Linked DNA regions of Saccharomyces cerevisiae S288C. The gene in region 3 interacts genetically with the main gene of each other region. Each region holds a gene or a part of one and is shown on either strand. Other genes may lie near its edges. The genes, in order: CYB2, INO1 and LEU9.

Region 1 (3,756 bases), on a different chromosome or scaffold from region 3:
AGATCTAAAAGATCAGGCTTCAATTCCGCAATGCTAGTAACACCTAATAGTCTCATAGACATTTCAATTTCATCTCTTAAAATTTCAATGGCTTTTTCAACACCATTACGACCATAGCATGAGTTCGCATACAAGAATGGTCTACCCAAACCAACACCTTTAGCACCTAGACATAACGCTTTCAAGACATCTGTACCACGACGAACACCACCGTCCACGAAAACTTCCAACTTATCCTTCAAGTTACGTTGTTCCAGGATTGGCATGGTTTCAGCCAGGACTTCAATGGGAGCCCTTGAAAAATCTAATTGTCTACCACCATGATTGGATAGAACCACCCCACTTACACCGATTTCTGCTGCTTTGATAACATCTTCGGTACGTTGAACACCTTTGATAACAATAGGTAGTTTTGTCTTTTTCTTCAACTCTTCTATATCTTTCCAAGTCAAAGAGGGGTCAATAAACTTTGATAACGCTCTCGAAGCACCTTGAGATTCTTCTACATTAGTTTTCTTCATCGCTTTTGGACCAGCCTTTGTATTGGAAAATTTCAGCTTCATATCTTTTTCTCTTTGACCTAAACTTGGAGCATCCACAGTGACAAATAATGCCTTTACACCCAGCTTTTCTACATTTTTAACCAAATCATCAGTGATCTTTCTATCAGAGTTAACATATAGTTGGTACCATTGAATTTGTTTATCAGAGGGTGCTGCTTCAATAATTTCCTCAGGGGAACATGAAGCCAAAGTAGATATCATTTGTGGGACTTTTGTCACACCTTGGCCACAACCTCTGGCGACATCTTTTTCACCTTCTAAGGGGTTTCCCAGTTTACACAAAGCTGTAGCAGACACGTAGAAGGGAACATCCACATGAGAACCCAACATGTCAGTTGAAATGTCTACTTTGCGTACATCTACAAGGATCTTTGGTTTGAAAAAAATCCTATGATAAGCATTATGGTTTTCTCTGTGAGTAACTTCGTCGTTAGCACCGGAGGAATAGTAGGCCCACGCTTGTTTAGTCAAAGTTTGAGAGGCCAAGTATTCAAAGTCGTAAAGGTTAATAATATTATCTAGAGGAGGTAGCAGCGATTTTAGTTGTTCTTTTCTAGCGATATCTTCCTTAGTTTCACCAGGAGCATAAGGAGGACAGACAAGTTCAGGAGGCATGGATCCTTGAAGGGGACCCAATTTTTTCTCGGGAGCTATATACTTATCGATGACATTAGGAGCATGTAGTGGTTCAAAAATAGCAGTGACATCTTTCCCGGCGTTAAACTTGATAACATCCTGCCCACCTGGATGATTTGGTAGGAATCGCGTTAAGTCGTATACGTAACCATTGATCACAACCCAACAATCATCGGGCTTGTTATGCTTGGCAACTTCAGCGGGCGAAATCTTTTGTTTATTCATATCCAGTTTCGGCTCGTTGTCTATTTGGCCATTATGCCAGTTTAGATACGCCACGGAACTAGTAGCGGCTAGAATTGCACCGACTCTCAAGGCAGTCCATGACTGTGTGCGTTTTCTTGAGTCTTGTTCGAACGACTTGGATTTTGGAACGGTAGAACCGTACGCGCGGATTGTGTTCAATCTAGTCTTAGACGCTCTGAGGATAGCAGCCTCACAGTTCTTCGAGATTTTTAGTAAAGGTTTGTATTTTAGCATTGACTACTTTTGTTTGCTTTCTTCTCTATGCGGGAACTGTATTAGCGACATAGGATGTAAGAATACGAAAAGATGCAAGAAGATTAGTCGACCAGGTACTTATATATTCACATACTCCAACTGAAAGTATTGGAGATCTAAGGTTCAGCAGTTGGTTCTTGGCGGTTCTTGTATGACATTATTATTGGTCGGGTCGTAGTTCTCTCGAACAGGAGGAGGGGGCAAGGAGATATCGGCAGGCTTTTTGCTAGCGCCTTGTTTGAAAAGCGTGGGGGTAGGTCTCCAAGCGATTATTGAGGAAGTAGTTTCAAGTATTACAGAGTCCAGGGCACAAGGGTCTTCATTATAGAGAGAGAATTTTCGTGAAAAAAATGGGCAGAATGCCACATGTTAGCAATGCAACGACTTGAGTGGGGGGTGATCCTTCCGATGTATGCGTGAAAGATCTCGTGTTGTGCAGGAAAGGGAATCATTTCGGAAAAAAAAGATGCAACAAGGAGGATGGCATGTGGATACTACGTTCTTGCGTAATATCCTTTTTGTTGCCTGTGTTAATACGTGAGCAACATTTTTTGTTAAAGTAGGCGATCAACTATTGCCCCCTGATATTGGTAGTAATTCTGCTAAAATATCGGCTGAGAAATGGTGATTCTCAAATAATTGCTGGGATTCCACTGGATATGGCCCCATTCTTAGATATATGGAACGTAGTAGAAGGCCTCTTAGAGGCTATGGGAGTCTCTCAAGAGAAAATCGACATTTTTACGTAATCATTCGTTCATTTCACTTTATACGTCATGATTCAATATCGTATTACTTTATCAAGTACCCGCGTTTAAACTTCATTAAATGACTGCGTCTCAATCTTTATGTCATCCTCCCTCCGCAAGTGACAATGTACTGGTAAAATAAAAACTAACTAACTAGATGATATTTTTAGAGTTTTATTCCAACGTTTCTCAATAGGCGATGGAGGAACAGAGTGAATATAAGAGGCTCTGTGGATTTATGGTTACCGGATTTATTTCGTAAATTCTTATTGAAGAATGGGTGAATTTTGAGATAATCGTTGGGATTCCATTTTTAATAAGGCAATAATATTAGGTATGTAGAATGTACTAGAAGTTCTCCTCGAGGATTTAGGAATCCATAAAAGGGAATCTGCAATTCTACACAATTCTATAAATATTATTATCATCATTTTATATGTTAATATTCATTGATCCTATTACATTATCAATCCTTGCGTTTCAGCTTCCACTAATTTAGATGACTATTTCTCATCATTTGCGTCATCTTCTAACACCGTATATGATAATATACTAGTAACGTAAATACTAGTTAGTAGATGATAGTTGATTTTTATTCCAACACTTATATTCTATATATCCATAACATTGTCTACATATAATCCGAGAGGTTACGACAACATTCATATAATAAGGGTAGTACTGACACTTTATTTTGAAGTAAATCAAAATAGTCACTCTCGGTAGCCAAGTTGGTTTAAGGCGCAAGACTGTAATTTACCACTACGAAATCTTGAGATCGGGCGTTCGACTCGCCCCCGGGAGATATTTTTTTTCCCTTTTTCTCCAGGCCTAGTGAGGTTTGAGTTTTGAACGTTTTATAGATAGATGTAAGGTAGCCAGAATGAGCACTTAGCCTTTAAAGTAAATTGAGTAGAGATACGTAAACAGTCGTGATAAATATGTAATACATTGTATTATTTTAAATAGGTTAAATTTTCTTTTTTTTTTTTCCATTTCATTTTCATTTTCATTTCCTGCAGTTATTTTTTTTCTTATTAATCTATATCCATGTAATCGTTAGCGATATTGTTGTTAGTCAACGCGGCCATGGCAGTACCGGGTGCTTGTGATGCAATTATACTTTGGGATGGTAGAAGATGATACTGGTGTTGTATAATACTAGCACTTCCAGTAGGACTCGTGCCTGTTATGTCGCGATTAGTGTTACCGAAATAACCATGAATCATGTACTCTTCTGTTTCAGAATAAAATTCAGATTCGTTCAGTAAGCGGCTGTTCATAGTGTGGTGCATACTAACCGGTTT
Region 2 (3,756 bases), on a different chromosome or scaffold from region 3:
TCAACGAAGACGGCAAGTTCAGTAGGGTCCAATTAATTGCGAGATGCATGAAGTCACTCTTCACTACATTTGAGTCGTTCAAATATATTCTTCTATAAAGCAGTTTGGTAGCGATCTTATTCAACCTTTTGTTCACAAGGCAAAGCTGCAAGCGGTCTGGTTGCGGCAAATGAGAGAATACTTCTTGCATGAGCTCATCGGGGAGCTTTGTTAGCGGGAACACGTAGTTTTTGCTCTTGGCGGCGAAATTTATGTTAATATCGTTAATATCTCGTAGCGCTGAAGCATCTGCGTTACTTTTATTGTTTCTGTTAATGAACGCTGCTTTTTTCTTCTGAAAATAATCTTGAAATGGCATGATATGAATATAAGCTGAGTTGTAAACACTGTGTATAGACGTCCTGGATATTTTGCACGGAAATCAGATCTCCATCGAAATCTACAATTCGCTTATAATCTATATATATTCCTCTTTGTGTGGGACGATAAAGTAGGGTAATACTTGCAATGAGAAAGAATACTCTGGTGAACAGGTGCATTTTGAGAGGGAAATAGGAACTAAGAAAAACAAGTAGAGGAAAAGGGGTGTAGTGCAGTGCAGTAAAGCGTTGCATTGATCGTATCTTGATAGATATACCGGTATATTACTGAACGTTTACATTCACCCTACAACATTTATAAATCTTATATATTATACATGCAAACTCGTATTTGTGAAGTGGGCATATAGTTTTTCGCTATGTATATAGCGGATGAGTGCGTTGGGATTACTATTTCTTTAATGCACGTGATGAAGGCTCGTTTTCTTTTTTTTTTTTTTTTTTTCTTTTTGGGAACGGGGGAAAAGGTCTCACTAGTATATAAAGGAAAGAGAGTACAGCACGAATGAGCCAGCTGCAGGAAAGGGGCTAGGTTAAAAAATAAAAACCCAGCAGAAAGCAAACAACCAAATATAATTTAGAAATGGACAGAGACCATATTAATGACCATGACCATCGAATGAGCTATTCCATCAACAAGGACGACTTGTTGTTAATGGTTTTGGCGGTTTTCATTCCCCCAGTGGCCGTCTGGAAGCGTAAGGGTATGTTCAACAGGGATACACTATTGAACTTACTTCTCTTCCTACTGTTATTCTTCCCAGCAATCATTCACGCTTGCTACGTTGTATATGAAACGAGTAGTGAACGTTCGTACGATCTTTCACGCAGACATGCGACTGCGCCCGCCGTAGACCGTGACCTGGAAGCTCACCCTGCAGAGGAATCTCAAGCACAGCCTCCAGCATATGATGAAGACGATGAGGCCGGTGCCGATGTGCCCTTGATGGACAACAAACAACAGCTCTCTTCCGGCCGTACTTAGTGATCGGAACGAGCTCTTTATCACCGTAGTTCTAAATAACACATAGAGTAAATTATTGCCTTTTTCTTCGTTCCTTTTGTTCTTCACGTCCTTTTTATGAAATACGTGCCGGTGTTCCGGGGTTGGATGCGGAATCGAAAGTGTTGAATGTGAAATATGCGGAGGCCAAGTATGCGCTTCGGCGGCTAAATGCGGCATGTGAAAAGTATTGTCTATTTTATCTTCATCCTTCTTTCCCAGAATATTGAACTTATTTAATTCACATGGAGCAGAGAAAGCGCACCTCTGCGTTGGCGGCAATGTTAATTTGAGACGTATATAAATTGGAGCTTTCGTCACCTTTTTTTGGCTTGTTCTGTTGTCGGGTTCCTAATGTTAGTTTTATCCTTGATTTATTCTGTTTCATTCCCTTTTTTTTCCAGTGAAAAAGAAGTAACAATGACAGAAGATAATATTGCTCCAATCACCTCCGTTAAAGTAGTTACCGACAAGTGCACGTACAAGGACAACGAGCTGCTCACCAAGTACAGCTACGAAAATGCTGTAGTTACGAAGACAGCTAGTGGCCGCTTCGATGTAACGCCCACTGTTCAAGACTACGTGTTCAAACTTGACTTGAAAAAGCCGGAAAAACTAGGAATTATGCTCATTGGGTTAGGTGGCAACAATGGCTCCACTTTAGTGGCCTCGGTATTGGCGAATAAGCACAATGTGGAGTTTCAAACTAAGGAAGGCGTTAAGCAACCAAACTACTTCGGCTCCATGACTCAATGTTCTACCTTGAAACTGGGTATCGATGCGGAGGGGAATGACGTTTATGCTCCTTTTAACTCTCTGTTGCCCATGGTTAGCCCAAACGACTTTGTCGTCTCTGGTTGGGACATCAATAACGCAGATCTATACGAAGCTATGCAGAGAAGTCAAGTTCTCGAATATGATCTGCAACAACGCTTGAAGGCGAAGATGTCCTTGGTGAAGCCTCTTCCTTCCATTTACTACCCTGATTTCATTGCAGCTAATCAAGATGAGAGAGCCAATAACTGCATCAATTTGGATGAAAAAGGCAACGTAACCACGAGGGGTAAGTGGACCCATCTGCAACGCATCAGACGCGATATCCAGAATTTCAAAGAAGAAAACGCCCTTGATAAAGTAATCGTTCTTTGGACTGCAAATACTGAGAGGTACGTAGAAGTATCTCCTGGTGTTAATGACACCATGGAAAACCTCTTGCAGTCTATTAAGAATGACCATGAAGAGATTGCTCCTTCCACGATCTTTGCAGCAGCATCTATCTTGGAAGGTGTCCCCTATATTAATGGTTCACCGCAGAATACTTTTGTTCCCGGCTTGGTTCAGCTGGCTGAGCATGAGGGTACATTCATTGCGGGAGACGATCTCAAGTCGGGACAAACCAAGTTGAAGTCTGTTCTGGCCCAGTTCTTAGTGGATGCAGGTATTAAACCGGTCTCCATTGCATCCTATAACCATTTAGGCAATAATGACGGTTATAACTTATCTGCTCCAAAACAATTTAGGTCTAAGGAGATTTCCAAAAGTTCTGTCATAGATGACATCATCGCGTCTAATGATATCTTGTACAATGATAAACTGGGTAAAAAAGTTGACCACTGCATTGTCATCAAATATATGAAGCCCGTCGGGGACTCAAAAGTGGCAATGGACGAGTATTACAGTGAGTTGATGTTAGGTGGCCATAACCGGATTTCCATTCACAATGTTTGCGAAGATTCTTTACTGGCTACGCCCTTGATCATCGATCTTTTAGTCATGACTGAGTTTTGTACAAGAGTGTCCTATAAGAAGGTGGACCCAGTTAAAGAAGATGCTGGCAAATTCGAGAACTTTTATCCAGTTTTAACCTTCTTGAGTTACTGGTTAAAAGCTCCATTAACAAGACCAGGATTTCACCCGGTGAATGGCTTAAACAAGCAAAGAACCGCCTTAGAAAATTTTTTAAGATTGTTGATTGGATTGCCTTCTCAAAACGAACTAAGATTCGAAGAGAGATTGTTGTAATCTCATTTCAACGACTCTCTTTTTCTTTTTCCGCCTACCTATAAAAAAACAAGACATTCACCATTATCCTATTATCCCTTCCATCAATACATATACTTAACATAACGTTTATAAAAATTCAACTATCAACAGTCTTTATATTTTTTTTTTTTCTTTTGAACTATTGCCTCTTTGTCACTTCGTCTTAAAGGGGCGTTTTTTATTTTTTTTTTTTTTTTTCAGTTGAGGTAGATGCGAGAAAGTGCTGTATTTATTCAAGGGCCACCTCAGTAAAGAGAAGAAAAGAGAGAAAAAAAAAAAGAAGGTGGTGTATGTGCGACCACTCAACAAGGCCCAGTGAAGTTAATATAT
Region 3 (3,756 bases):
GAAAAGTGCGCAGGTACCCCGATCGAAGCGGCTCGGCGCTCATTTTAGCACAATCAGAAAAAGGAAATTGAAAGAAGAAAAAAAAAACATAATCATTAACAATTCTTTTCTTGAGATATACGTATATATGACGTCGTCATGTAGTATCTCTTTCGGGATACCCTTTGTAAACGTCCCTTTGTGGAGATGAAAAAAAAACTTGCTGAATAAAGATAGTTAAGGCGCTAGTAATCAAATTAATAACATATTATACCACATCACATCTATACCATTTCCGTTGCACATTGCTTGAACCAGTTGCCAAAATTGACTAAACGGATTTTTACAAAGTCAACGGTGATCACTAAAAGCAAACAACTCAAGCGACGAGGCAAGGAAAGAGAAGAAAAAAAAAATATTACATTGGCTATATAAATATCAAAACATCTTAGGTAAGGCACCTTTGATACATAAAACGAAGAAAATTCAGCACATGCCAGATGGCGAGTGTACCAAGTCTATGCGACATACTGATACCGCTAGAAAAGAATAGTCGCAGCGACGGCGATGCTGAAAGTAGCAATACAGTGCTGATTCAACTGCGAAAAGGGCATCACGAACGGATGCGTTCTCCTTACACAATACAAAAGTTTTACAAATTTCTAAAAAGAGCTCATTGTGAGGAAAATTTAGAATTTTTCGAAAAAGCTCATCAGTTCCTCCAGCTTAAGCAAAACAGGAGTATTAGCGAGGAGAAGCTCTTGGAAGTTTGGAACAAGTCGTTGTACATAAAATACATTGCCGTGGACTCCCCCAAAGAATGCAACTTTTCACAGGATACTAGGGAGATATTTGAGAAGTGCTTTGCTAACAATGAAGTACCTGCCGACGTAGACGTCCTGTGTGCCATTAGCCATGTGATGGGCCTATTAATGGACGGGTATCACCGATTTGTGAGTTCTGTTAATGAGAAAAAGTACTCCGCCACATATGCCCACAATGACTCTGCTACGGAACAAGATCTCAAAAACGAGTCTACAACTTCTTTTTCGTCATTAGGCGTGGAGGATATTTCTGAAGATAGAAATTCGTATCTTAAGAAGCCTGATATCAATGGTTTGTCAACTATCATTCAAGAAACGTCTGCAAACACGACCAATGAGTCGCAATGCAGCGATCGCACTTCTCGGCCAAGCGAGTCCTCTTCCTCACTCAACACTACCAGCTCGACCTACAAGAATACCAGCACTAGAAATCTGCAAAAACCGCAAAATACAGGAATTCTCAACTCGGGGAAAGGTTTATTGCAAAAACTTAACTTTGTTAAAAAACGGAAATCTTTCAAACAGCCTTCAGGCGTCATTTGTAGCCATTATAACAGCAATGTTCAAAACCGTTTGAAAGGACAAAACAGTCATCAACAAAGATAGCCTCTTCATCATCTGTGGAGACACAAATATCTTCATCCTCATCGCCATTACCCAATAAAGCGATCGGTAAAAATGAAAAAAGCGTTGAAAACGGCTTTAAAAAGCTAAATTTGCATGATATCAGTTAATCAAGATTAGAACTTTGATTAAGTAGAACAACGATAGAAAATCCGCTTTTCTGGCTAGTTCCCTCGTTTCATATTAATTCATTTCACACAATTTACTTCATTTCATCACGCTCATATTGTTTGTAACTTTAGTTTTTATTTAATTTTACGTACATGACACTGCATATAATTATTTCACAGGCATTTAAAATAAGAGCATTGGGCACAGTCTTCTTTTATATGTTGTCATATTCAAACACTAAACATTTATCTGTATAGTAATTAATGTTAGCTCTTCCTTCTGCATGGCGCTTGTTATATACTTCATTCGTCTATTTTGGTGCCGCGCGCCATCATGGTCCGGTAACGGTCGTAGTGAATGACTCATATTTTTCCATCTCTTTCGGCCTTGCCAAAAAATGAAAAAAAAAAAAAAAAAAAAAAAAAAAATTAAAAACGATGTCCAGAATCACAACTACAACATAGTTTTGCCTCTTACTGGCTTGATTGGAAGTTAGCTGTTAAATTTCAATAATGCCTTACTTTACTCCACGAAATCACAATCCTTGTTTTCGGCTTATAAGGGTCTTCTCCTTAGGATAATACTATCGGCACATTATCATTTAGCCGCGTAGCCATGGTAAAACATTCGTTCATAGCGCTAGCTGAGCATGCTAGTAAACTAAGAAGGTCTATCCCACCCGTCAAACTGACTTATAAAAATATGCTACGGGACCCATCGGTAAAATATAGGGCGTTTGCTCCACCAAAAATGGTCAAGAGGATTTGGCCTGACAAAACTATTCAAAAGGCTCCACGTTGGCTGTCTACTGACTTGAGGGACGGTAATCAATCTTTACCGGACCCAATGTCTGTGGCTCAAAAGAAAGAATATTTCCACAAGTTGATCAACATCGGTTTCAAAGAAATCGAAGTGTCTTTCCCCTCTGCATCTCAAACAGATTTCGACTTCACCAGGTATGCTGTAGAAAACGCTCCAGATGATGTTGGTATTCAATGTCTTGTCCAATCTAGAGAACACTTGATTAAAAGAACCGTGGAAGCATTGACTGGTGCTAAAAGGGCTACCATACATACTTACTTGGCCACAAGTGACATGTTCCGAGAAATTGTCTTCAATATGTCTAGAGAGGAAGCTATTTCTAAAGCTGTAGAAGCCACCAAACTGGTTAGGAAACTAACCAAGGATGACCCTTCCCAGCAAGCTACTCGTTGGTCCTATGAGTTTTCTCCCGAATGTTTCAGTGATACGCCAGGTGAATTTGCTGTAGAAATTTGTGAAGCTGTTAAAAAGGCTTGGGAACCTACCGAGGAAAATCCGATCATTTTCAACTTACCAGCTACTGTAGAAGTTGCCTCTCCAAATGTTTACGCTGATCAAATTGAGTACTTCTCTACCCACATTACTGAGCGTGAGAAGGTCTGTATTTCTACGCATTGTCACAATGACCGTGGTTGCGGTGTCGCCGCCACAGAATTAGGTATGCTTGCAGGCGCTGATCGTGTAGAAGGTTGTCTATTTGGTAATGGTGAACGTACAGGTAATGTTGATTTGGTTACAGTTGCCATGAATATGTATACCCAAGGTGTTTCTCCTAATTTAGATTTCTCAGATTTAACTTCAATTTCTGAAATTGTCCATCGCTGTAACAAGATTCCAATTCCCCCAAGAGCCCCATATGGCGGTGAATTGGTTGTTTCTGCCTTTTCTGGTTCTCATCAGGATGCAATTAAGAAGGGATTTGCAATCCAAAACAAGAAACAGGCTCAAGGAGAAACTCGGTGGAGAATTCCATACTTACCATTGGATCCAAAGGATATTGGACGTGATTACGAAGCCGTCATCAGAGTCAACTCTCAATCCGGTAAGGGTGGTGCTGCTTGGGTTATTATGAGATCTCTAGGATTAGATGTACCAAGACCAATGCAAGTTGATTTCTCCAATACTCTACAGAAAAATGCAGATGCCTTAGGAAGAGAGTTAAAATCCGAAGAGATTACAAAATTGTTCAAAGAAACTTACAACTACAACAACAATGAACATATATACGTCACCTTGTTGAATTACGAAGTTAAGAAATTGAACCCAGAGCGTAGAGCTTTAGTGGGCCAGGTAGAAATCAACGATAAGGTTGTCAACATCGAAGGCTACGGAAATGGTCCTATCTCTTCTTTGGTGGATGCGCTATCCAATTTACTGAATGTTAAGTTGAGCGTTC

What was found.
Region 1: mutations in LEU9 (region 3) and CYB2 together harm fitness more than expected from each alone (negative genetic interaction), as found in Saccharomyces cerevisiae (one large-scale study listed by BioGRID).
Region 2: mutations in LEU9 (region 3) and INO1 together harm fitness more than expected from each alone (negative genetic interaction), as found in Saccharomyces cerevisiae (one large-scale study listed by BioGRID).

The regions. Positions count from the first base shown.
Region 1 is NC_001145.3:165,630-169,385, forward strand, and holds the start of CYB2 (L-lactate dehydrogenase (cytochrome)), read right to left. Parts: upstream 1,680-3,756; coding exon 1-1,679. Other genes in the region: YML054C-A (uncharacterized protein), read right to left, coding at 1,994-2,152; YML053C (uncharacterized protein), read right to left, coding at 3,487-3,756. UniProt on the Saccharomyces cerevisiae protein: Catalyzes the oxidation of (S)-lactate (L-lactate) to pyruvate with subsequent transfer of electrons to cytochrome c. Is involved in the utilization of (S)-lactate as a sole source of carbon for growth.
Region 2 is NC_001142.9:133,981-137,736, reverse strand, and holds INO1 (inositol-3-phosphate synthase INO1), read left to right. Parts: upstream 1-1,803; coding exon 1,804-3,405; downstream 3,406-3,756. Other genes in the region: SCF ubiquitin ligase complex subunit DAS1, read right to left, coding at 1-358; SNA3 (Sna3p), read left to right, coding at 964-1,365. UniProt on the Saccharomyces cerevisiae protein: Key enzyme in myo-inositol biosynthesis pathway that catalyzes the conversion of glucose 6-phosphate to 1-myo-inositol 1-phosphate in a NAD-dependent manner. Rate-limiting enzyme in the synthesis of all inositol-containing compounds.
Region 3 is NC_001147.6:520,874-524,629, forward strand, and holds the start of LEU9 (2-isopropylmalate synthase LEU9), read left to right. Parts: upstream 1-2,153; coding exon 2,154-3,756. Other genes in the region: GTPase-activating protein RGS2, read left to right, coding at 480-1,409. UniProt on the Saccharomyces cerevisiae protein: Catalyzes the condensation of the acetyl group of acetyl-CoA with 3-methyl-2-oxobutanoate (2-oxoisovalerate) to form 3-carboxy-3-hydroxy-4-methylpentanoate (2-isopropylmalate). Redundant to LEU4, responsible for about 20% of alpha-IPMS activity.